Drosophila melanogaster: one gene and its partners. The protein of the gene in region 3 interacts with the protein of the main gene of each other region in a pairwise test. Each region holds a gene or a part of one and is shown on either strand. Other genes may lie near its edges.

The links. Proteins that work in one complex are often made in the same cells at the same time.
Region 1: the proteins of CG12620 (region 3) and Gbs-70E interact in a two-hybrid assay, tested with the Drosophila melanogaster proteins (one large-scale study listed by BioGRID).
Region 2: the proteins of CG12620 (region 3) and ZAP3 interact in a two-hybrid assay, tested with the Drosophila melanogaster proteins (one large-scale study listed by BioGRID).

What each region holds. Positions count from the first base shown.
Region 1 is NT_037436.4:14,545,705-14,553,280, forward strand, and holds the start of Gbs-70E (glycogen binding subunit 70E), read right to left. Parts: upstream 5,272-7,576; 5' UTR 4,833-5,271; intron 4,456-4,832; 5' UTR 4,386-4,455; coding exon 4,294-4,385; intron 1,779-4,293; coding exon 1,413-1,778; intron 1-1,412.
Region 2 is NC_004354.4:10,077,222-10,084,874, forward strand, and holds the start of ZAP3 (ZAP3), read right to left. Parts: upstream 5,272-7,653; 5' UTR 5,084-5,271; coding exon 4,712-5,083; intron 4,651-4,711; coding exon 1,265-4,650; intron 148-1,264; coding exon of another isoform or gene 129-147; exon of another isoform or gene 1-128. Other genes in the region: CG2972 (uncharacterized protein), read left to right, coding at 6,027-6,101, 6,161-7,504.
Region 3 is NT_033779.5:17,084,265-17,092,252, reverse strand, and holds CG12620 (uncharacterized protein), read right to left. Parts: upstream 4,613-7,988; 5' UTR 4,529-4,612; coding exon 3,665-4,528; 3' UTR 3,067-3,664; downstream 1-3,066.

The DNA.
Region 1 (7,576 bases), on a different chromosome or scaffold from region 3:
CTTGTGTTAACTTAAATGAATTATAATTTACTCTGAAGATTTGAATTGGTAAATTAATTTTTTCCCAGTGGATTTCGTAACTGATAAAACGAGGCATACAAAATACGCAACCGCAAAGTGTACACAAAATCTCCAACAGCAACAAGCACACGTCTGGTTTACATTGATAATATTATGGTTAATTGCATTCGTTTGAGTAGCTGCGTAGCTTTAAGCCTGATCTCTTGTCTAGAGACGCAGCCCAAATAGAAATAGTGTTCGCATTTGACGCAAATGAACGTATAAATTATTTTCTCTATCTCGTGGCATATGTATTTTTAGGCATTTCTCAAAATGTCAGATTCAAGTGCAAAAAGGAAATTATTTCTAGGGCTCGTTGAAAGCGAAATATACATATGTATACAATTTTACAAAATATCTGCGAGACATCGATAACCCAAATATTTTCATGGCCTGCACATGAATCGATAATGTATCTTCCCTATATATAGCGAATAAATGGAAATGGAAAACGAAAATAATGGCGCCTCGCTGTTGGGGTCTATACTAAATACCAGTCTATTCCCATTTGAGTCTTAAAATGTGAGATTTTTTATCTCAGATATACGAGATACAGATTCTCGACTCGCGATGCAGTGGCGTGTTTTTATTTTGGCTTATTTCTACAGTCATTTAGATAATTTATATTTTGTTTTTGTGAAATTGCATGCTCTTAAAAATATATAAAATATATTTTCAAGTATATTTCATGATCTTTTTGCATTTGTTTAGCCTGGCGGCCGTCTGCAATTGGCTTTCTCAGCTTATTTAATAAATGACATGTGCTCGGCTATGACGTCTGTGGGAAAGTTGTTCGACTGCCAACAGATTTTCTTATTCCTTTTACTAGAACTATTGCAAATGTCTTATAAACGATTAATCTTTGTTTATAAAATATTATGGCGGAAGTGGTATTTTCGCAGTTTTATAAGAAATGATCTTTTCACGTTCCAATTTTTAGAACCAAAATCCTATCCTCCCCATATTAAAATTCAAAGATTTAAGTTTGAATCATAAGCTTTCGATTTCTTTTTGACCACAGTCTACATAGTTAAGATGCGCTATGAAAACCATCTACAGCTTCTTGTGTTACTTTCTCGGACTTTCCTTAAGATTTCCCCTCAATTGACATCTTACTATTTAATGAATCTGTTATAGGTTGATACACCCAATTCTGACCACAATTACCCAGGCTCTCACACCACTAAGTTCCCATCTAGTTCAGTTGGTGGTTTAATAAGTGCGGCGCCATAATCTTTGAAGGCCTGACGTCAAAGTGACTGAGTCCGCCGGCATTTACAGCCTTCTTGATCGTTTCGGCGCCGCTGTATCGAGTTACCTACATTACGTAATCTTATCGCCCGCACACTCACCTCACTTCGCCGTTGCTGTCACTATCCTTGCTGCAGATACAGCTATGACTGGCACTGTCCGCGACATCGGTGTCCGTCGGCGAGAGATCTGCGGAACTGGCTGTAGTGTTCTGGGATTTGTGCAGGCAGGATTTGCGGCTGAGACAGGATTTGGGCTGATTGGTGAGTAGCGGCGCCGAGGCCATTCGCTCCAGGTAACTCCGTCCGGAACGACTGCCCACGCCCAGGGGCGTGGCACCCGCCTTCTGCTGACTGGGACCCTGACCCTGGACCGCCGCCGAGGCGTTGTTGACCATGGCTTTGGAGGCCAGCGTTATCACTTGGGGCCGGCAGTAGCGCGACGCTCTGTTGGGCTCGTCATTGTAGCTGAAACAAGGTATGCAAGTTTAATTGGTTTATTTTTGTATTTCAAAACTTAAATTAATAACTATAAAAATGTTTCTTAAAATAAATTTATTTAATATTTATTTCATAACTTAATTTCGTTACTATTCTGTCCTTTTAAATGAGTGTTGAATTCGTTCAAAAAATCAAAAGGTTGAATATCGAAGGTTGAATATATCACAATCAGTTAAAATATATATCTCTAACACCACTAATTGAAAATATAATTTCTATATTTAAACATCAGCAGATGGTAGCCATCTTTCAATTGTTTTGACCATTTTTTGTGATTCTTTTTTCGTTTGGAAAGCAGAAAAGAAATTCCCAAGATCAGTCTTTTATTTCAAGCATCTACGCATTAAGCTGCCTTTTATCAGTCCTGATAAGAGTGGTGGCTTTAATTTTTACTGCCTCAATGCCTGCCTTCATTGTTCGGAGGCCCATGTACTACTTGTATTTGTACTTGTACTTGTGTAGTCCTACTGATACGTGTATATTGTCTATAAAGAAACATCGCTGATAAGAGGAGTTGCGCGCGACCTCCTCACTTAATTCGGGTTTGCCGTGGGTGGGAAATGTATAGTATGAATATGAAGCATATTTGTTTGGGTTCTTCAGTGAGTCATTTCTAAAATTGTATAGTCGGAGAGACTCGCTGGTCTTACTCATTTGGCACAGTTCACATCCCATTTGTAGTTATCATAATTTTTCGGCTAGACATTCATAAAACTAAAAGTCAATGGTTGATAAGGATCGTTCAATGGGGTTCGCGTGGACTTTTGCATGCTAAACATATGTTGACGGCATGCTGATACGTCTTTTTCGGCGTGGGCCTGGCTATGGGAACATTTCCGTCTGCTCTGCTGTTATCATCAACTTTTTTTGGCTAATTGGCGCTGTCTGGAGACAATATCAGCATATTTAGTGCTTGAGTTGGCAACCAAAAGAATTCAATCATTTTCGATGACGACCCGCCCAGTTACGTGGGTAGTTCTAGGTATTGGGTGGGGTAAACTGTTGTAAAATCACGCTGTGAAATTTCAAGTGAGTTGACGCATTAGCAGCTGAGTTACTTGAGTTGGTTGGAGTACTCGGTTTGTTTGAAGGCATGCCGCTCACGTGCCCCGATAAGAAATGTTCATAGTTGTAGGGATCGCAGTAGGGCTTTCGCATGTATTACCTCCCACAGTTTTATCTACTGAACCTCTTTAATCTTAACTGATTATTTAGTTTTTTACCGGTTCTTGTAGCGTTTGTTTTGCTTGGCCATACTCTAGATATAGATTTATTTTTAGCTGAAGTCCTCATATATACGAATATAAGTTATACGAATTTTCGGTATTGTATATTTATCATTCCCAAAAATAAAATACTCTCAACAAATATGATGAAAATGCAGCGCGTGCAGCAAATGAAGCACGGCAAATTGCTTTAATTCAATCAATTGCTCTCGCCTCTGTATAAATATAATATATAGATATTACCCTTCTTCCCTTTACCAATTTGTCAAATTTTCGGCTTGCTCGTGTGCCCCTGAGAAAAAAAGTTGCGTCAAGCGCCACGCGCAAATTGTCGCCAAGCAAATTTTTGGCGTCACCCCCACGACTCGTGAACGAATCTTCAAATCTCAGTTGGCTCCACCAGCGAAAGATCACCTCAGAATCGGCGAAATGTTTGTTTTGGTTCAGTATTCTGTCTTGCCTTGATCTTGAATGCTTGCTTTTCATATTTTGCCAATCTGTTGTTGTCAACCAAAAACGAGCCTTAGCACGAATATTTTTAGTACCTGCATTCATTGTGTTTTCGAATAGTTCTCAGGTTTTAATACTATGTATTGGGTAAGACATGTTTCCTGCCTTTGATCAGGTGTTAAAATTTCCATAGACGACACTTGAAACAGGTGTTTCATGTGAATCAATATGGGCAGCCCTCGAGAGATCGATAATATTCCTTTTCTGGATTGTGTAAACAACTGAGTTCTTATATTCATTAAATGGAATTACGGCATTCCGGTCTGTTTATTTTGTTAATGTGGGTTATGTTTGGGTATTTTGAAATTTGTTTTAAATTTGAATGTTTAAAATTATTGTTTAAATATTCGCCAGAGAGAACGCCTAATGCAAAAGGGTATTAATCATTTTTATCTGTTATGTATTTTTTATCTCTCAGTTTAATTCATTTACTATCACATGGTTTTTCAGGTTATCAGACATTTATATCGTTTCTCTTATTAACACGTACACCACTTGTTAAATTCATAAAAGATGATGCATCAGAAAATGCTTCTAGTTCCTTATCAATCGATAAGAAAGTTAAAAAAATATTTTCTTTCGACATGAAAAAACCTGAGAATTGGTACTCTTTCAATGATGTTTGGCTATTTAATTTGTTTTGATTGGCTGCCGAAACTCGTGGATTCACTTAGAGCAATTCTGTGTTAAATTAGTCCAATTGCTGGCTATATTTATTTATGAGTTATATACTTTTGTAAACTTACTTCAACGATTGACGGGGATGTCCGCTCATGAAGTCCGCCAGAAAACTAACGGGTGGACTGTGACTGAATATGGGCGGACTGTGCGAAATCATTTTATATATGGCTTCGATCTGCGCTGATTACAATGATCTCTACAAACAAGGAACTTTGGTATGGAAGCCCCTGTGGAAAAATATAGAAAATTAACGATTTGTTTTTGTTGCTAATCGAAGCGCGGCAATAAATGAACGTTTAATTGGAAAGTAATGTGTAAATAGAATGCATGATCCGAATATATAATATATGTTTATGAAATTTCATATTAATTGCTAATCTCAGGTGGAATCGGAATTAATGATGGTATAATATAGCAATACCATTTCCATAAGAGATAACATTCGAAACGTTGTTAGTTTGGTCCAAATGCATGTTAAAATCAGTTTGATTCGAAACAAGGTGATGTAAATGCTGATACCCAAAATAATAAAATGCCCCCCTTCTTATGTTTTATAAAGTTTTTCATGATATGTTTATTGTGTAGTTTTAGCTTTACAACTAACCGTTAATTGTTATCTCCACTCTGTTTTCCGCTTCACTTTTGACTTCTGGCTAGGAGGTAAGGAACTTTTCTTTTTCTTGTGCAGTCAATCCACTTTAAATTTTACTGTGATCTTTCTTTCTTTGATCTTATTTAAATTTTTACTTTTTCATTTGTACATCACGCGTGAGCGTCAGACAATGAAAAACGATCGTTGGGACGGAACCTTAATTGAATTTATTAAAATCCTCCGATCGGGGCACTTTTTTCGTGGTCACACACACAAAACGACGAACGATTTTTAATAGATTTTTCGCGGACTTTGCTTAAGTGTAGCTAAATTTTCTTGTGTCAATTATTTAACACGGACAAAAAAACAGCAACTAGTTTCCGTCGCGTTCCCCGCTTCGTTCCGTTCCTCCTATGAACCGTACGCTTCGACGATGCGAAAACGAATGAAAATGTTTGTTGCTGCAACTTGCCGTTAAGACTTGATCGGGGCGACAGAAAAAGAGAGAGAGAGAAAAAGAAAAAGAGAGAGATTGGTTGTTTGAATTCCCTTCCAAGACATATAGACATGTTAGTGGAGCGTTTGTAATGTTATCAGAATGTTATATATTCAAGAGGCCAGTATATAAAAACAGAAAACAGAAATAACAGTAAAGCAGAATAAAATAAAATCATCCCATTTTTACTACTAATGAACGACCACATAAAACAGTTAAGTTTTCTGCTCTGTTAGTACTTTAAAGGGTATACATAATTCAGCGTTCTGAACTCGCGTTAGGTTTCTAGAATAGCCCCGGTCTCTCTCTCACTCTCTCTCTCTCTCCTGATCGACGTGGCTTGCATATTTTGATTGCATTTTGGTATTCCGCAGTGATTGTAGTTGTGGTTTCGATTTAGCGTCGGTCCTAGTTGCTTTGATTAGTTTTGGCGCCACTGGCGGTGACAAAAGTCAAAACGGGTGTCAGCCCCTCGAGACATGATCACATGCACGGGAAGCATCCCATCTCCCAAAATCAAATTTCCCACTGAGCCTCGTGGCGCTCAAGTGAATTTCAAGGAGTTTGGCAAACACTTTTTCCGTCTCAGCTTTTTAAATATTTATCTTATCGAAGTCGATAGGTTATAGCCTCTGGTCTGTTCAGTTCAATATTTATAGCCTTACGAACTAGAATTGGTATTATTAGTTAAATTGTTTTTTATTATAAAAGATATTTCACACACAGATTTATAAGGGCCTCTTCCGCACTCAATTGAATATGGGACATTATTCACCACTCGACTCATTTGTGAGTGGGTTTTGGTTTTATGTGTCTGCCCACGCATTTCTTTTATGTGAGGGTGCTCCCCTGACATATGTAAATCAATTAGGCCTTCCATTAGGGTCTCGTGAATGAGACACTTTTAGTCTATTTTCATTGCTGAACTTATAAAAAGCTCTTCGAATTTAATCGATTTTGGTAATAAAAAAGGAAAATATGCAACTATATTAATTGAAATTTTTTATAAATAATAAATACTATAAAACCTAAGTCTATGTCTCAAAAAGTACTTTATCTGCTTTGATAAGTTATCAGCTGATTATAAATGCATTCGTATTAAAAATAGTCCAAGTCATTAGTGATTATAGCTTAAAATTCCTCATCAATCCCATAAAACTCGCGCGTAAGGCCATTATTAAAATAGAAATCAACACCTAAACCTGCGTAAGAGGCTCAAAATTTCAAATACTCAACTAATGAAGCATTGAAATTGATTTTCCTCGTCGCTTTTTCTTTTCCAATCTATGCATGTAGAGTTCAGGCCAGTTTCGACCCACATGATATCTGTCGTACCCACATCAAAACTGTCCCAGACAAGCGGAAACCGCTGAATGCAACCAAGTCTGCTCAAAAATGCAGTCTCAGGCTCGACTATTCGGAACTCGAAATTGTGGTTGGGCCTCCTTTATATAGAGACTGTATATGTATTTGAGTTTTATCTATGCTCTATTTTTGGTGTGCGTGCTCGGTGTACATTCACTCATGGCGGTTCGGTGCATAGGCATGGACATTCGAGTCTTTTTCTTTTTTGATCAGGGAAATGTTTTCGTAATGCCTGATTTGAAATCACATCTCGAAGCCCATGATAATGCAACTCTCTGAAGAGATCACGCTTTTTGTCTCTCAAGAGCCTCAACGACTGTTAAACAAAAACGTACTTTGAATGCGCACTTTCTTCATTTCTTCTTCGACTGCCAACGCAGCATCCCATTGAACCTCGCTGATGAAGGGGGTTTCTGCGGACAAAGGGGTTTCGAAAGGGGTTAGGGGCAAAAGAGCCGGCCGGCTAAGTTGCTTGCCTAGTTGAAAGCCGGTTTCGAGAGATCCCTGCGTGCATACAGAAGTGGTTACTTGAGTGCCTCGTTGCAGTTGCCGGTCATTTTTATCGGCATAGACCAGATGAGATGGCACAGGGGCGTAGTATATGTACGTTATGGAGACTGGGAATTTTATCTCAATGAAGAGCTTTTCATTTAGATTTGTGAAAAATTAAGATATATCGTGATGGTGATTAAACCATTGAATAGATAGGTTTCACTTACATTGGCACCCATTTTCTACTTCCTTGTCGTCAGGAATGCCCTATACCTTTTTTCAGGGTGCATTCAGGCTTCCTAATTACACAACTCTCTTTTTTTGCTCTTATATGCTATTATTCAGCAAGATTTCTCTCTTCGGTTGCACTTGAAATTGCATTTTACCCCCTTCTTTGTTTGCA
Region 2 (7,653 bases), on a different chromosome or scaffold from region 3:
TCAGATCCCGAATTCGAGTGTTCAGAGTTCAGAGTTCAGAGTTCAGAGTTCAGAGTTCAGAGTTCAGAGTTCAGAGTTCAGAGATCAAAGATCAGGTCCTGCGCTGCTGCTGCCGTTGCTGGAGCTTCCTACCGCCCCCTTCTCTTGCTGCACAGACAATGGATCAGACACAGATTGGTGGATATATGCATATATGCATAGGTATCGGGAACATCGCCAACAATCAATCAATACCACCGTTTAGATATTCATTTGCGTGTTGGTTTTCGTATTCGATTTGGTTATCGTTCGTTTGTAAGATTGTTTTAATTATATTTTTATATTCAGTATTTATATATCAGTATTGCATAAAAGTAGAAGAGAAGAAGAAAAAAACGGGGTTGGAATCGAAATTCCAGCATTAAAGATAACTAGAAAATGGCCTGGACAAGTTAACTAAATTAAATTTGATGATATCAATACAGATACAGATAGAGAAAGTGAAGGGTTACAAAAATGTGGGTAAGAGGGGGGATCGAGCGGAATAGTGCCCAACGAGAACGATATATATATATATATATATATATATATATATCTATAGGCTATCTGAACATCAGGCCGTTTGAGAAGGCATCCCACGGATATGCGTAATGTGAATAGAGCTGAATAAATAAGCATAGGAAGCAGATTGTCTACTTATTCGAAAACGTTGCATCAGATATTTCAGATATTTGTTAGCCCATCGATAGGCGATAGTACTGCGTACATTCGGACAAACAATCATTCGACGGCCCACAGGTTTTTGATAATGTTTTGGGTTTGGGTTAACCCCCAACGCATGGATTGATTAGGCATAATAATGGACTGATTATTCATAATAAAAACACTTAAAACAGTAACTATAAGTGCAAATAGCATCTGTACTTAATACAAAATCAACGAATTTACTGAATGGATAATGTTGTTTAAGGTTGTTTTTTTTTAACGTTTCAAAGATATGCATGCAGCCCTACTTGAATTTCCCCAAAACAAACATATTTCCAGATTGTACCATCCAAATGAATACTAATAGCAAGTGCTCTTGAGAAGATAACGTTCCCATATCTTCCTCAGACAATCAGACAATTGATATTGGAATTTGGCAGAGCATAGTGGGAGGGGAAAGAATCATCTTTCCCCGTTCCACAATTTTTTGTCAAGATATAACATTTCGATATTATTGTATACGTAGTGAAAAGATATTCAATCAAGTCGAAAAAGTTAAAAACAGATTGAAGACACATACCCGTCATTCCAGTTCTTCCGATTGTTGTTTCCTCCTCCTCCTCCTCCACCACCACCTCCGCCTGGATTTCCAAAGCGGTTGCCAAAGTTTCTGGGTCCTCTCGGTGGTCCTGCGCCCAGATCATCGTTGCCAAAGCCCGGACCCGGTGGGCCGCCTTGGCGTCGGAAGGGATTATCACTGATTGGTCCACCGTTAAAGCCGCGCATATTGTGACCTGGTCCATTGGGTCCCATGTGGGGTCGTGGACCGCCAAACGGCGGACCGCCAAAGTCATCACGTCCCGGACCGAAAGGACCATCGGGTCCGCGAGGCCCGAAGTTGCGGGAACCCGGACGCGGTCCGAAATTGGGCCCAAAGTTTGGTCCAAAGTTGGGGCCATTTGGTCTGAAGTGTGGTCCGAAATTCGGACCCGGACCCGGTAACGGTCCATTTGGTCTAATGAACGGCCCGCCCGGACCTCTAGGTCCAAAGTTGTGCCCGAAGTTGGGTCCAAAGTTTCCACGCGGTCCTGGACCGTTGGGTCCAAAGTTCCTGCCCGGTGGTCCAAAGCCAGGTGGACCATTGTTATCTAAGTCAATGAAATTATTTCCAGACACTTGATTTGGTCCAAAGACATCGAAACGTGATCCATCGTTTTGACCTGGACCAGAACCTGGACCTCCGCCTGGTCCGTTTCCGGGACCAAAGCCACCAGGTGGGCCATTATTGTCCGGTTTCTCACCGTTATTGGTGCTCACCGAGTCGCCGGCATCCTGCGACTTGTTTTCGTTGCCGCTGTTCTTCTTGCGCTGCCACTCGGCGAAGGACAATGGACGTCCATCCGTACCCGATTCCTGATCATCGCGTTGCTCGTGACGATCGCGCTGCTCGCGTTCCTGTACATTGGCCACCGCCTGGGAGAGATTGTTAATGAAATTTGGATCCTTGAGGGCATTGCTTAGAGATTCGTCGCCCTTCTTGTCGGCGGACACGTCGCCTGGCTGTTTTTCAGTTTCATCAGCCGCTTTCTTTTCGCTGGAATCCTTGAGCACCACATTGAAGACTGAGGACGAATTATTCTTGTTACTGCCATCGTCCACCAAATCCAGACCGGGTATGCCATCGTTCTTCTTGAAAATGCTGCCCATGGGCGTGTTAGGTGCGTCCTGTACCACCTCTTTCTCCTCATCATCGTCGTCGTCGTCGTCCAGGGAAATGGTGAATATGGGCTCCTCCTCCTTGACTTGCTTAGCGGGTATTTGTGAGGGAGCAGCTCTTTGACGGCGCTTGCCATAATTTGTGGAAACCGGAGGAGGCTGCGTGGGCGGAACCACTGTCGGATCTGGCACTACTGGTGCAGCTGGAGCTTTAACTTCGGGCGGCACCACGGGTGCAATCGGTGGAGCCACTGGGGAAGCTGTCGTTTTTGCTTTCTTTACATCAGATGAATTTTCATTTGATGCCGCCGGCTTGGTTGGAATTTCCTGGTTGGATTCATCTGGCTGTTCGTCCAATATCTGCTGGATGGCTTCCTGGGCGGTTTGGTACTGGTTGTGCATCCCCGGTGGCGGTCCTTGGTTGCCTCTGAATGCAGGTACTCCGGCGCTTTCGAAGGGGCGATTCTCTTTTCCAAAATGACCAGCATTTCCGGACTGTCTGTTCCCGTTTCCGAAGTTGGGACCCGATCCGTGATCCTGGTCACCCTGATCGGCAAAACGGCCCTGGCCTTCGAAGGGATCCTTATTTGGCTTCTGCTCCGCGGTCGTGGATGCACCTGCGGCTGCTTCCTTCCTTATGTCTGTGGTCGAGCCTCCTGCCGAACCACCCATCTGCAGTTGGCGACGTCGGCGCATCTGCTCCCTTCTCTCGGCGATGCGACGGCGCTGCTTCTCGAACTCCTCCTCGTAGCGTCGATACTCGTCACGATCCGGATGGTTGGCATTGGCCAGCTTCCATTCTTCGAACTGTTGCTCCCACTGATCGAACAGCAGATCGAAACTGGCCTCGTCCAAATCGGGTGGTTGCTGTTGATTGCGGTTCTGCTGCGACTGCTTGTAGGGCGCATTCGACTGATTGAAGCTGTTGCGCTGATTGTAATTGCCACGATTTGGATTGTAGCCGCCTGGACCAGAATCCCCACCGCCTCTCTCATCGGAAAATCCCTGGTTACGATTGTTATCCCGTCGATTGTTCTGGCGGCGATTGTTACTAAAGTTATTATTAATATTATTGCCGGGTCCTCCACCACGTCCAGCAAAACTGTCCTGGCTTTGCTTGCCTCCACTATCATCTCCAAAGCCGCCAAAGTTGCCTCCTCCTGCACTACCTTGATCTTGGCTATTGTAACTGTTGCCATAATTGCCAAAATCGGACTGTGGATTCTTAATGAATGGGTTCTTGCTTTGGTTTCCATCTCCACCTCCATCACCCCAACTATTGCGGCTATTCTGGATGCTATTTGGCTTGTTGTTAGTCCTCATTGGCGGTGTATCGATGTCGGAATTGATTCCTTGCCAGCGACTCGAGCGGGCATTCTGGCTGCTATTGTTTTGCTGCTGATGGTCCTGTGGCGGATCACTTATACTCGGTGGTGGTCCGCTCATCCAGGAATTCTGGTTTTGATACTGCTGATTGGGATTCGGAAGGCTTGGCGGTGGTTCGCTCATCCAACGATTTAGTTGCTGATCCCCGCCAGACGGCGCTTGATTTGAAGTCCCATCCCAGCGGCGATTGCCATCATTGGTGTTATTGTTAAATGACGTTCCATTCCAGCGATTGTTGACATCATTTGCCGGCGGCGGGCCATTCCAGCGATTGGGTTGGCCGGTATTATCAGGCGGCGGACCACTGGTATCCCAGGTAGGACGATTATTATTGCCCACACCGTGTTGATTATTTCCCCACTGGCCATGGTCCATATGGTTTAAATGCGGCTGCTGCTGTTGCGGTGTTGGTCTCTGCAAACTTGGCGGCGGCTGCTGGAGATTCGGAAATCCCTGGTTGTCTTGCCCGGCAATGTTGTAGTTCATCTGGTTCATTTGACCGCCACCATATCTATTTGGCGGCGGCTGTTGCATTGGCGGTGGTCCTGACCACATGCTTTGGATGTCATTCGGATGCTGATTGTAACCGCCTTTTTGTGGTGGCGGCGGCGGCTGGTTGTACATCTGCGGCTGGGCCATGATCTTACCGGGCAGTGGCGGTGCTCCCGCGACGGCTACGGGTGTAGTTGACTGCGCCGGCGAGGCGCTGACACCTTGGTAATAGTTATGTGCGACAGGATAGGCCTGTGGCCCGGGAGGAGCGACCACAGGGACGGGTGCTGCTGCAGGAGTCGCTACCACAGGCGCGGGCACGCCTTGAACTGCGGTAGTTGTGGCCGCGGCTGCGGCCATTTCACGCTTATACTAAAGATTTGGAAGACTACTATAGCAATATGATCGTCGATAACTAATTGATTTGACCCACCTGCTCACCGTACTGGGCATGCCACTTGGCGTACTCCTCCTGGTATGTCTGCCACTGTTGCCAGTGGTGCTGCAGTGCGTACTGCTGTTCGGGTGTCATGGCCGCGTACTGGGCGGCCGTATACTGTTGATAGGGGTTGCCAGCCCCCGTCGCCTGGCCGCTGCTATAGGGGTTGAATCCAGGGGCCGTTGTGACTGCGGCTGCAGTCGTGACTATGGGTGCAGAGGCACCGCTTGATGCTCCGGCTCCGGCGGTCGCGTCCGATGGAGGCGGAGGGGGCGGGGCGTCCGGCAACGGTGGCGGAACCGACGGTTGCGGAGGTAGAGCGGCAGTGGGAGCCACTGCGGCGGCGGTTTGCCATTGGCCCCACATACCGTGTCCACTGGATTGATTAGCCTATTAGCGAATAACACACTTGTACCGCTCGGTTGGGCTTTCACAAAATCCGGCGGATTGGCTCCGTTCCGTTTAAAATCGTCCACCTTTCACTAATTCAGTTTGCTATCTGAACGAATTGATAATGAAAACTTCGCCATATTTGGCTTGAAAACTAGAGATGGAACTGTCAGCTAAATGGGCCGGGCAGTGTGACCGTGCTGCGAGTGTGCATCCATATATCGCAAGCACCCTAGAATATTCCATTGCCAATTAATAAAATAATTTGAATGTAATCCAATGCACTTACAAGCCTACAAATTGAAAAATTAGCAAAGATAGCTTGCTTAAGTGATTGATTCGTAGAAGTTGTATTGATAATACGAAAATATGTTAAAAAAAAAATAAACAAGAAGATCAAACTGGCAGACCTTCTAATGAGCTTTTTGAAAATCTGCAGCAAATTAATAGATTTCTCAGACCAGGCATTTTACTACATTTTTTCATATCTGTAAATATGTTAATATAAGTTAAGTCAAGTGATATTTTGTTTAACTGATGTTTTTTGTAGTTTGTTAAGTAAATTTGGTAATTTTCCAACAGTCCGGCCGAAAGTCTAAGTAGTCAGGACCGATATCTCCCTGTGATAATAATATAATATCTCATAGAAATATATTTTAACATGAATTAATTTTAACAATTTTATTGAGAGCTAGCAATAAAATTTTAGGGAACGCATTCATTTAGCTTTGCCTAACTCTTAAAAATGTAAAATTTAATTAACTAATATTAAAATCACAAATTCATAAACACTTTTTGGTATTTTTAGCATACCCTAACGTAACGGTCACAGCTCACTACAGCCACACTAATCGCGACACGTGCAGAAATTGTTATTTTTTGCCGTCCTTTGTTTTTCATGTGAAAATTAGCACTGAAAATGGCCGAAACGAGCGAAAAGATCAAGTTCCTTGTGGCGGACACCACAGCCTTTATAAACGCCGTGCCCCTGAATGTAAGTCACGCACAATTTGCCCATTCGAGCCATCTAAAGCCGCCACTAATCCCCTACAGGAATACGCGGAGCAGGTGCTCACCGTGCCGGATGTGGTGGCCGAAGTGCGCAACAAGCGCCAGATTCGCCGCCTCTGCGTTCTGCCCTTCGACCTCCAGGTGCGCGAGCCTCGTCCGGAGAGCATTAAACACTGCGTGGAGTTCGCCAAGAAAACGGGTGACTACGCGAGTCTCTCGGGGATCGATCTGAAAGTGATCTCGCTCACCTACGAACTGGAAGCAGACAACGTGGGCACTGATCACCTGCGCCAGGAGCCTGTGATGGCGCAGACCATTGCGTCCAAGGATAAACCCGAGGAGATGCAGGATGCTAATAACAAGAGACTGGTCGGTTGGTACATGCCCGAGGGCGAAGAGGAGGAGGAGGAGGATTCCGAGGAGGAAGATGATTACTCCCAGGAAGAGGACGATGCTGAAGGCGATGAGCAGGAGGCAAATGAATCCCCAGACACTGTTAAAGCCGCCATCGAAGCCCAATTGGCCGGCAAGGAACCATTTGCCAGCGAGACCATCGAAAAGGAGGAGGACCAAGACCAGGAGCCCAGTCAGGAGGAGCTGGACAAGCTGTTCGAGCAGCTCAAATGCGCACCCAGTGCCGAGGAAGAGAAAGAGCTCTCGGAACTGCTCGTTTCCCAGCCGGCCGAAGTAGATGAGGAGGTATCCGAGCCACAAGAAGCCAAACAGAGCCAAAATCTCGACGAGGATGTGGGTGACGATGGCTGGATCACGCATTCAAACATCAAGAAGGCCAAGAAAGCGCTCGAGGGCAAAGTGGAAACGGATGAAGTGCCGCCCGTCGCCTGCATGACCACCGATTATGCGCTGCAGAACGTGCTCAAGCAGCTAAATCTCCACCTGGCCGCCCTCAATGGCCGGATCATCAAGCAGTTGCGCACATATATACTCCGCTGCTACGCGTGCTACAAGACCACCAGCATCATGACCAAGGTGTTTTGCCCCAATTGTGGCAACAAGACGCTGAAACGTGTGGCCGTCAGTCTGGACGAGAACGGTCGCCAGGTGATTCACATCAATACGCGCCGTCCGCTGACCAATAAGTACAAGAATCAGAGCCTGCCTCGCTTCCAGGGCGGCAAGCATTCGAGAAATCCGATCCTGTTCGAGGATCAGCCGATGCCCAGGCAGATGCCGTCGCGCGTTGCCAAGACCAAGACGAACGCTCTGGATCAGGACTACACGGCCGGATTCTCGCCCTTCGTGCTGCGCGACGTGGACTCCAAGTCCGCCATGCTGCGCTCCAAGGGCAACCTCAAGGAGTGGGCCAGGAATAACAACTTCGAGGAGGATCGCCGGCGCAAGAACTACAATCGCTTGTACAAGTAGATTACTCTGGGCAGTAAGGGGCTAGTTGTTCATTAGCTTTCCAATCGTAGACTTTATATAAATTTATATAATATATAAAATAAAACACAAGGGAGAACCTGAAACTTTGTAAAATGTAAACAGAGAAGCTTTTCAAGTAGTTACAAGCG
Region 3 (7,988 bases):
ATTTGGATATAGTAAGCATGTGAATGGTTTTAAAAATTACGAGCCCTTTACTATTAACACCAACGAAAGCTTTTAAAGTCAATATACTTATGCATGAGCATAGAAAAAAATGTAAGAAAGTATAAACAACTCATTAAATAATTACCTTACAAAATTCATGGAAATCTAAGAAATGCCCTCCGTTTAAATTTAAATGAATATTATTTCCATATGAGTAGAGTCACAATTGAATGCAACTTGCTATTATTGCATCAAAGATTCTATATTCAACCGAATTTTACTAAAACTGTAAGGGTATACAGGCAGTTGACTGATGAGCTGTGAGAGGCCATCCCTGTTTGCTGTTGCTGGAATTTTATGACAGTTACAAAAAGTTGCCTGATGATATAATGTTTATGTGTCGCTGACACTGTCATACACACCCCCTCGCCAACAACATACAGCCCACTGTTTTTTCACCCCATCGCCCACTGGCTGTTTTCCACGAAAGACAGAGACACCGATGCGATGCCCGCCGTCATAATTGCACCTGCAAGGCTAACAGTCGCAGACAGTGAAGAGTTGGGCTGGGTAAAAGGGGTGTTCGCTGGGAAAAACAAGGGGCATGAGCCGGAGCAGCTGCACAAAAAGACGCACAAGGAACAATGACACGACAGAAATATGCCAAGTAGCCGACCCCCCAGCCCCCGCATCAACGAAAATGACAGCGGAAAAACAGGGGGTGGGTCGGGCGGAAAAGCTGGGAGACATATGATGCATATCGCAAATGTCGTTTGCTGTCAGTTTCCGGTTGTTGCAGCAGCCATTTTGTTTATGCATGAACACGAATGCGACTGCGACTGCGACTGCCACTGCCACTGCAACTGCCACTGCAGCAAAAAGAAGGCCGACGAGAGCTGGTGGAAAGCCGTGGGTGTGGAGTCGAAAAAGTGCAAAAGGAAAACCAGGTGGGCGGACTGTACGAGTTCAAGTGTAAACTAATTTCGCGCTTTGCACTTGGTTAGCCCGACATTGAGTTATGATTTTCGGTTTTCTTTTGGGGTCAACACTCATGGCACGTGATGCCTGGCTTTAAGCCATATTTTATGGATACCGTCCGCTCCGTTCCATAGCCACGTTTTGACAGCTTCACGCTCGATGGCAGTTGGTCAAAAGGGTAAACTGTCCCATGAGTGCTTACAAATAAGGTCAATCAATCACTCAATCAATCAAGGTGGCATTTGGGGGATTTGGTCTACCGCTTATGATATCATTACATATAAATTTAATAAAAAACTAAAAAAAATGGAAGTCGTAAATTCAAATAAATGTGTTACAAAGCCGCAAAAATACTTAATATTAATTAGGCATTTAATTGAATTACTAAGCAGTTCTATCTAGAGCAACAAAGCAACATGAAGCCACTTCAAATGCAAAACAGTCATGGGAACTCATTCCATCCTTGATTACCGATCACCTATCGCTAGAAACTTCGATTGCCATCGACGAATGCCGATTGCAGTTGGCTCCCCTCGACGCACATTAAGTCTAAAGCACTCCAAATGCCGCCGATTGCGGTGAACAATTGCTTTGTATCCTTGCTACACGAGGCATGTACATGCAAGGACTCTAGCAGGGACACACTTGAACGGGTTGACATAAGTCACGATGACTGGCCACAATGTTTGGATGATGATTAGGACCAGGCACTTGCAGACCACTTCGCTTGATTTGCCGGCATGACGTGTCACTTTGTGGGCCCCATAAAAAATTAACCAAATTGCCATGCTAAAGATTAATTTCAGCACATTGCGATGACCTAAAATACATTTAATTTTAATTTGGTTTGTTTGAGGTGTGCCAAGTTACAGGATTCTCTTCACATCACTTAATAGAGAATTGCTTGCTTCAATTTAAGGTCAATTTAAGGAAAGGTCAGCTGCACTCGCTTTTCAATACTTATTTAGCCTTGTATCCCTTTTAAAAACAAACTTTCGAGAAAAGAAGCGTGTGTGTGGACTAAAAGCAAACGGCAATTAAATGTCATAAAAGTGCTGTAGTATACTAAAGTAGGGATTACAATCTCTTCGACTTGTTTTTTAACTCCAGACGGGCAGCAGCTGGGACTGCATCCACAGCTGAGGGGTTCAAGCAACCGAGAATGTCTAGACATTTCCAGCTTTAGCCTTCATAGACAACAAAGTCTTCATTAGGCGAATGACGATTTTGCTGCAGATCGTATGACGTGATATTTATTTCCATTTCATGGCCGAAAGGAACGCCAAATTGGCCAAAAATCGAGAACGTCTGGGTTGAAATTGTTGAAGATTACTTAAATGAAAACGCTATTAAGTCCGACGAATTTAATTGCTACACCACCAAAGTGATGTGCCACACAAGATACTGCTAGATTTGAAGTTATATATCGGCATTAAATTTGATGTTAAACTTATATTTATATTGCATCTCTTAAAATTTAAGTTAGGTTTAACATGTCCAGAGAAAACAAGATACTGTGGCTCTTCGCCTATCCGATATCGAATATAATTGGAGAGTAATTGACTCGGTTTTCAAAAGTGTAGGCTGTAAATTGTTTTTTAGCTCATGGAGGTAAGAGAGTTACCGACGGACGTGGCAGTTTTTTCAAACAAAACTTGCACAATTCTTATCACTATACATATTTAACGTGTATACAAAAATTAAACAAAACAATGACCGGTATCGAAAGGGAAAACATGACCGACACAAAAAAGAAAACAAAAGAAAGAAATAGTATGTGTAAACTTCCGTAATTAAAATATTTTAAAAGAATCAAAAACATTTACACGCACAGGCTACAAAGCCATGTTGGCTTGCATAAATGAAAAAAATGGGTATGGATAATAAATGAAATATTGTAATGTAAGTTGAGCTCATACAGATCTGAAAACAAACAAAAGAATTGAAATCGGCACTTGCTTGACAATTATTGTGATGAATGAAAATACCATAATTCTTGTTTATGAATTGAACTAACTAAATATTAATTACATATTACAGAAAGTAAACTTAAAACCAATCCATATTATCCCTAAGAGTAATAATTTTATTAAATTAAAAGGCCAATACAAAATGGCTGTATTTTACGGAATTTCATCGCACACAAAGACTTTTGAAATAATTTCAGCACATTGTCCTTCTAGCTCCTTATTGTCTCATCTTCCTAGTATCCACCCACGCAAAAAAAAGCAAGGAGAAGAATGGAACCCGTTAGGCGTCATTATCGTGCACACTTAGTTATCCCTTTGAATGTCCTCCGTCCCTTCATGTGTGCGCTAGTGCGGGTTTTGTCCTTTATGGCCCAAATAATTGTGCGGTCTCCGGGTCGAGAAAACTATATTTTTAAAGCTGCGCTGGGGAAAGAGAGCGTTGATGGAGTCATTTGAGATCAGAGGCGATTACGGTTATTTGGTGTCTACATTAGCTTGTATGCATTTACGAATATGGGTTTATTTGACTTTACGATTAAAATAAAGCCTTATATAACTTCTGGAATATGAAGTAAAAACATTCGCAGCATTTGGGCTATACGGATTGGATTTTGATTTCCAGCCAACGAAACATTTTCTTAATTTAGGCAACACTAATCTAATGCACAATGAGAAATGGGATCCCATATACATCAATTGCATCAATCAATTTAAGTTTATAAATTTCGCGTTTTTTGACCAGTATGTTTTTTCACACTCGAACTTATGTTTTTCTGTATGGCGCTCAAATTCTTTAGGTCAATATTTTCGCCACGGTCAAGGACCCTAGTGTGTTTTTCTTCTTCTGGAGCTGTTTTATCAATGACTTCCGGAGCAGTTGGTGGTAGTACTGTTTCCGGTTCTGGTTCTGGTTCCGGTTCCGGTCGCGGTTCCACTGGCGGTTCCGGTTGCGGTTCCGGTTGCGGTTCTGGTTCCGCGGGAACGTACACTATCGGCGGATCAGGAGTCTGGCTTATAAGCTTATTATAGCAATGATGGGCGGGATGGAATCCGGGCTCGGGATCCTCCTTTGGCAGACTGTCGTCGGAAATCATCGATTGGTCTGTAGCCCGATCGTATTGGAAGTACGGAAGTAAGTCGTCGGAGTCTGTGCCGCAGGGCGGACACTCCTCTTCGGCGATCTCGGAGATATGTTCATCATCCACGCTTAGTTGACTCTCCGATGACTCTGTGAACTCCTCGCGGATCAGACGCCTGGCCAACTCGACCGTTGAGAACTCAGTGTAGTGCAGCTTTCGGCGTCGTACGAAGGATATGCGTCTGGCTCGCTCTTTGATAGTCTCCAGGAATTCGAAATCTTCGGAGTCGTCCGAGCTGCAGGATGGATCATGGGCGAAGAAGTCCGGCGTCGTGAGCTTCACCTCCTTATGCAGTTTTTCCATTAGCTCCTTATGAGACATGACCTTCTCGCCGGTTTCTCTTTTTATTGACGAGGCCGATTCATTTTCCACTTCATAGGGGTCCGAGTGAACGGGTACTCCCAGGTTCATTTTATCGAACCTTGTTCTTTTAGTCGTCATGGTTATAAGACAAAATGTGTTTGTTTTTTTTTTTTAGGTTCTACTTCTTATTTTTGGGATATATAAAATGTTTATACGTTTAAGTTTTATTTCTGCCCAGACTGAACTAGATGTGTTAGCTTTGATGTTTTAATCTATGTTAACTAGCTTAGCCTTATATCGGAAAAAATTCAGTAATTCATTTTAATCATGATCATTAGAAAAATAATATAATACTTCCAATGCAAATGCCTTAATATATTTGACGCTCTCATTTGCGTTTCGTTTTTTTCTTGTAAATTTACCCCACGACTTCGCTTAATCAAACCATATCGTGGACTTCAGTCTGGCTACCATGGCTACTACATTTTTTGATAACGGCCGCGATTTGCCTACGTTCCATAATTTGATGTCACATTTTTCCCACAACGCGGGTTAAGTGTTTAACCTCTGGTGCGAGTGGGCACAAAAAAAAGGGCGATATCTCGACAAAAGAAATTTGTTTGCGAGCCAATTTCGATTGTGTCAAAAGGACGGTTATTTATTGGACCGCAGGCGTCATTGTCTAGCCATCGATGGGAATAAATATGCCTGTGGCGTCTCACAAGGATGCATAAATTGTCAAAACGAGATTTCGACTTGCGATGAATTTAATTGGATTGCAAAAGTTTCTTCGCGTATCGCAAAACCGAAAATTGAGCTGTTGAAACGTGACGTTTCCACCAACTCAAACGGAACCGCAGCCAATATGCATACAATTAAACTGTATTTTCGGCATCTGGTTTTGGGATAAAAGCGCCTTTTATGGACACTCCATTTGACCCACATTCGAAGAAGGAATTCTGCCAAGAATAAAATGTTTATTTAGCATTTTATGCCAAAAGAGAGAGCGCTAAAATTATTTACGCAGCATCAGGCGTGTCATTTGCATGTGCCACGCCCCAGGCCCCCAGTCACAAAAAATTCAAGGCGATGAATCCCACAAAAATACGCTAAAAGTATTTACATTTGACTCGGAAAAATTATACATTTCCGTGCAAATAAAAAGCAAGTCCAAAGCATCTAGTCGGTGGGCGGGCAAAGGGGCGGACAGCATCGGAGGATGCCCGGAAATAAAACCAGAATCCGAACCAGAAAGCAGATTAGAGATCCTTGAGGAAGGCCACACGAACTCGAAATGCTCTAGGTGACGATTTCCCAAAAAAATATAAATTAAATTGGAAAAATTTCTTTAAGAAAAGCAATACATTGATTGACACATTTTATTTCTTAAATACAAGAAACTATATTAATATTCCAAAAAGTATGAAAGCAGATAAGTGGATTCATTTTGATAATGCCGATGAGATTAAATAAGGTATCGAGAATATCGAGGTGTTGCATTCAGTTCGTAATACTCAAGCCGCTCCTTCGATAAAGGACAACGGCAGGCGTGGCAAAAAAGCGCGTTGCAAAGAGGAAAAGCTTCAAATCCGCAAACAAACACTGTGACAGCTACAATGCGGGGAACTGAAAAGTGGGTGGCGCTGGGCAGAAAAACCCAGTCACCCGACCGAATGAAATGTACTCTCTATTGACATTTGATTCCAGCCTCACTTGGCTGGGAAATAAAAAATATATATGTGTATGTCAGGATGTGTACAAGTGCAGAGCGGACGCAGTTAGACCCGTTAAAGGGGTGGGGGGATTTGTAAATGCGGAAAAGGGGCAGCCGGGTTCTTCACTTTGTTGCACAAAGCCTTGCTCAGATTTCGGTGAAGGAAAACTCGTCGCTTTTCACTCTTCGAGGCTGTCGTTTTTCGTTTCATTGTTTGTTTGTTTGTTGGTTTCGTTTCGTTTCGTTTCGCCTCGTGCTGTTCCGTTTTCGCTTTTGTTTGTTCGCCTGTGGATTGTGTTTCCTGTTACAAGGCTTCCAGGATCCCATCTCCCTTACCCATCTCGAATCCCCTGTCCTGTCGCCTTGACGCATAAATTTGCCTTAATTTGTTGCAAAATAATTTCATTCATTTACGTGCTGCCATTTACATGGCCGTCGGTCCACGTTGATAACTTATTTAAGCGCTCTTTTCCCCAGCGAAGGAAAAACAAAATTTGAACAAAATAAATTATCAAACTGTCACATTGACGTATCGCCCAAGTGAGACAATCCGGGCAAACCGAGGAGTCAACGGGGAAAAGTCGGGCCAATCTCCTGGCCATAATCTAGAGCATCATGTTGCTCGTTTAAAGGATGTCAAAGGTTGGCCATATATCAGCAAAAGGCATCAAACGCAGTCGAGTCGAGGCATCGGCTTCAGCCCGTTAACAATTTCATGTAACAAATTCTTCGTGCCCGATGCCGGACACGGATACATGGTCAGGAGTGTTCGCCACTGGAGTGGGTGTAAGAGGAGCACTTGGAGAATTATTTTAAGAATATTTTACTATCCATTTTATGAAGAAACTTAATTAACGACATTATTCATAGTAAAAACATTTAGCAAATATATAAACAAAGTAAAAATGACTAATTATTCCTGCATTTATATAATTTAAGCCAATAAGCTGTGTGAAGAATCCCACATAAGCAAAGCATACAAAATCGGTTTTATAGTGAAAAGAAGTAACTTATTTCTCGCAGTGTCGACACCCGAGCTGTTTCAGATTTCCAATAAATATGCCTAGGGTGGTTGTGGTCCTTCTGCTGATCCTGATACCGCCTCTGGTTCTGGTTCTGGTCCTGTACTACTCTCCTCTGCACTGCGTTGGGTTTGGACTCGGAGCCACCGCACTTCCTGCTGTCTGCCACCCACTGTCGCTTATTTGACATCCTGACAGTTTCGACAGTTGCCTCTCGTTTCTCGCTCCACGACAAAGTGCGTAGGGACGCCGGACGATGAACGACGGCCAGAGCTTTGTTTATTTATATGGTTTATACGGTCGGGATGTGTGTGCAGGTTACCTTGTGCCGGCGCTGCGGTTGCTCCCGTAAACGATGCTTTGTTGGAAAAGCGGGAAAATCGGAAAATGCCGCAGAAAAATATCCATCGCACGCGGGTCTCCGGGTTCAAGGTGTAGCCCAGCATGTGACAAGGATTCGATGCTAACCCAGCTCTCGGTGTGTGTATTTGTGTACGGCACTGTTAGCCACTAACAAGCGGCTAAAATCTGTCGCCAACAATGGTGGCAATTGGATGTGGAACACTTGGTAAGGGTTTCAATCTGGCGGGGACTCAACATCTTTGATGTGGGTACAATGTTTCTGGGTTTCCTGGGATATCCAAAACTTCCAAGGGTTGAGAAAAGTCCTTTCAGTAATTTGGTTGCTTTATCATTAGAACTATCTTTTTCTATATAAATTTCCCTAGACTTTTAAAGAATGCGAGTGTAAATAAATGATACTTAAATATTATTTGCTTATTCTGTGCCTTGATCCCACTGTTCTTCAAGTGAATTGCCACCTGAGACAATGTAATTTTTGAATACTTCATCGGTTACTTTG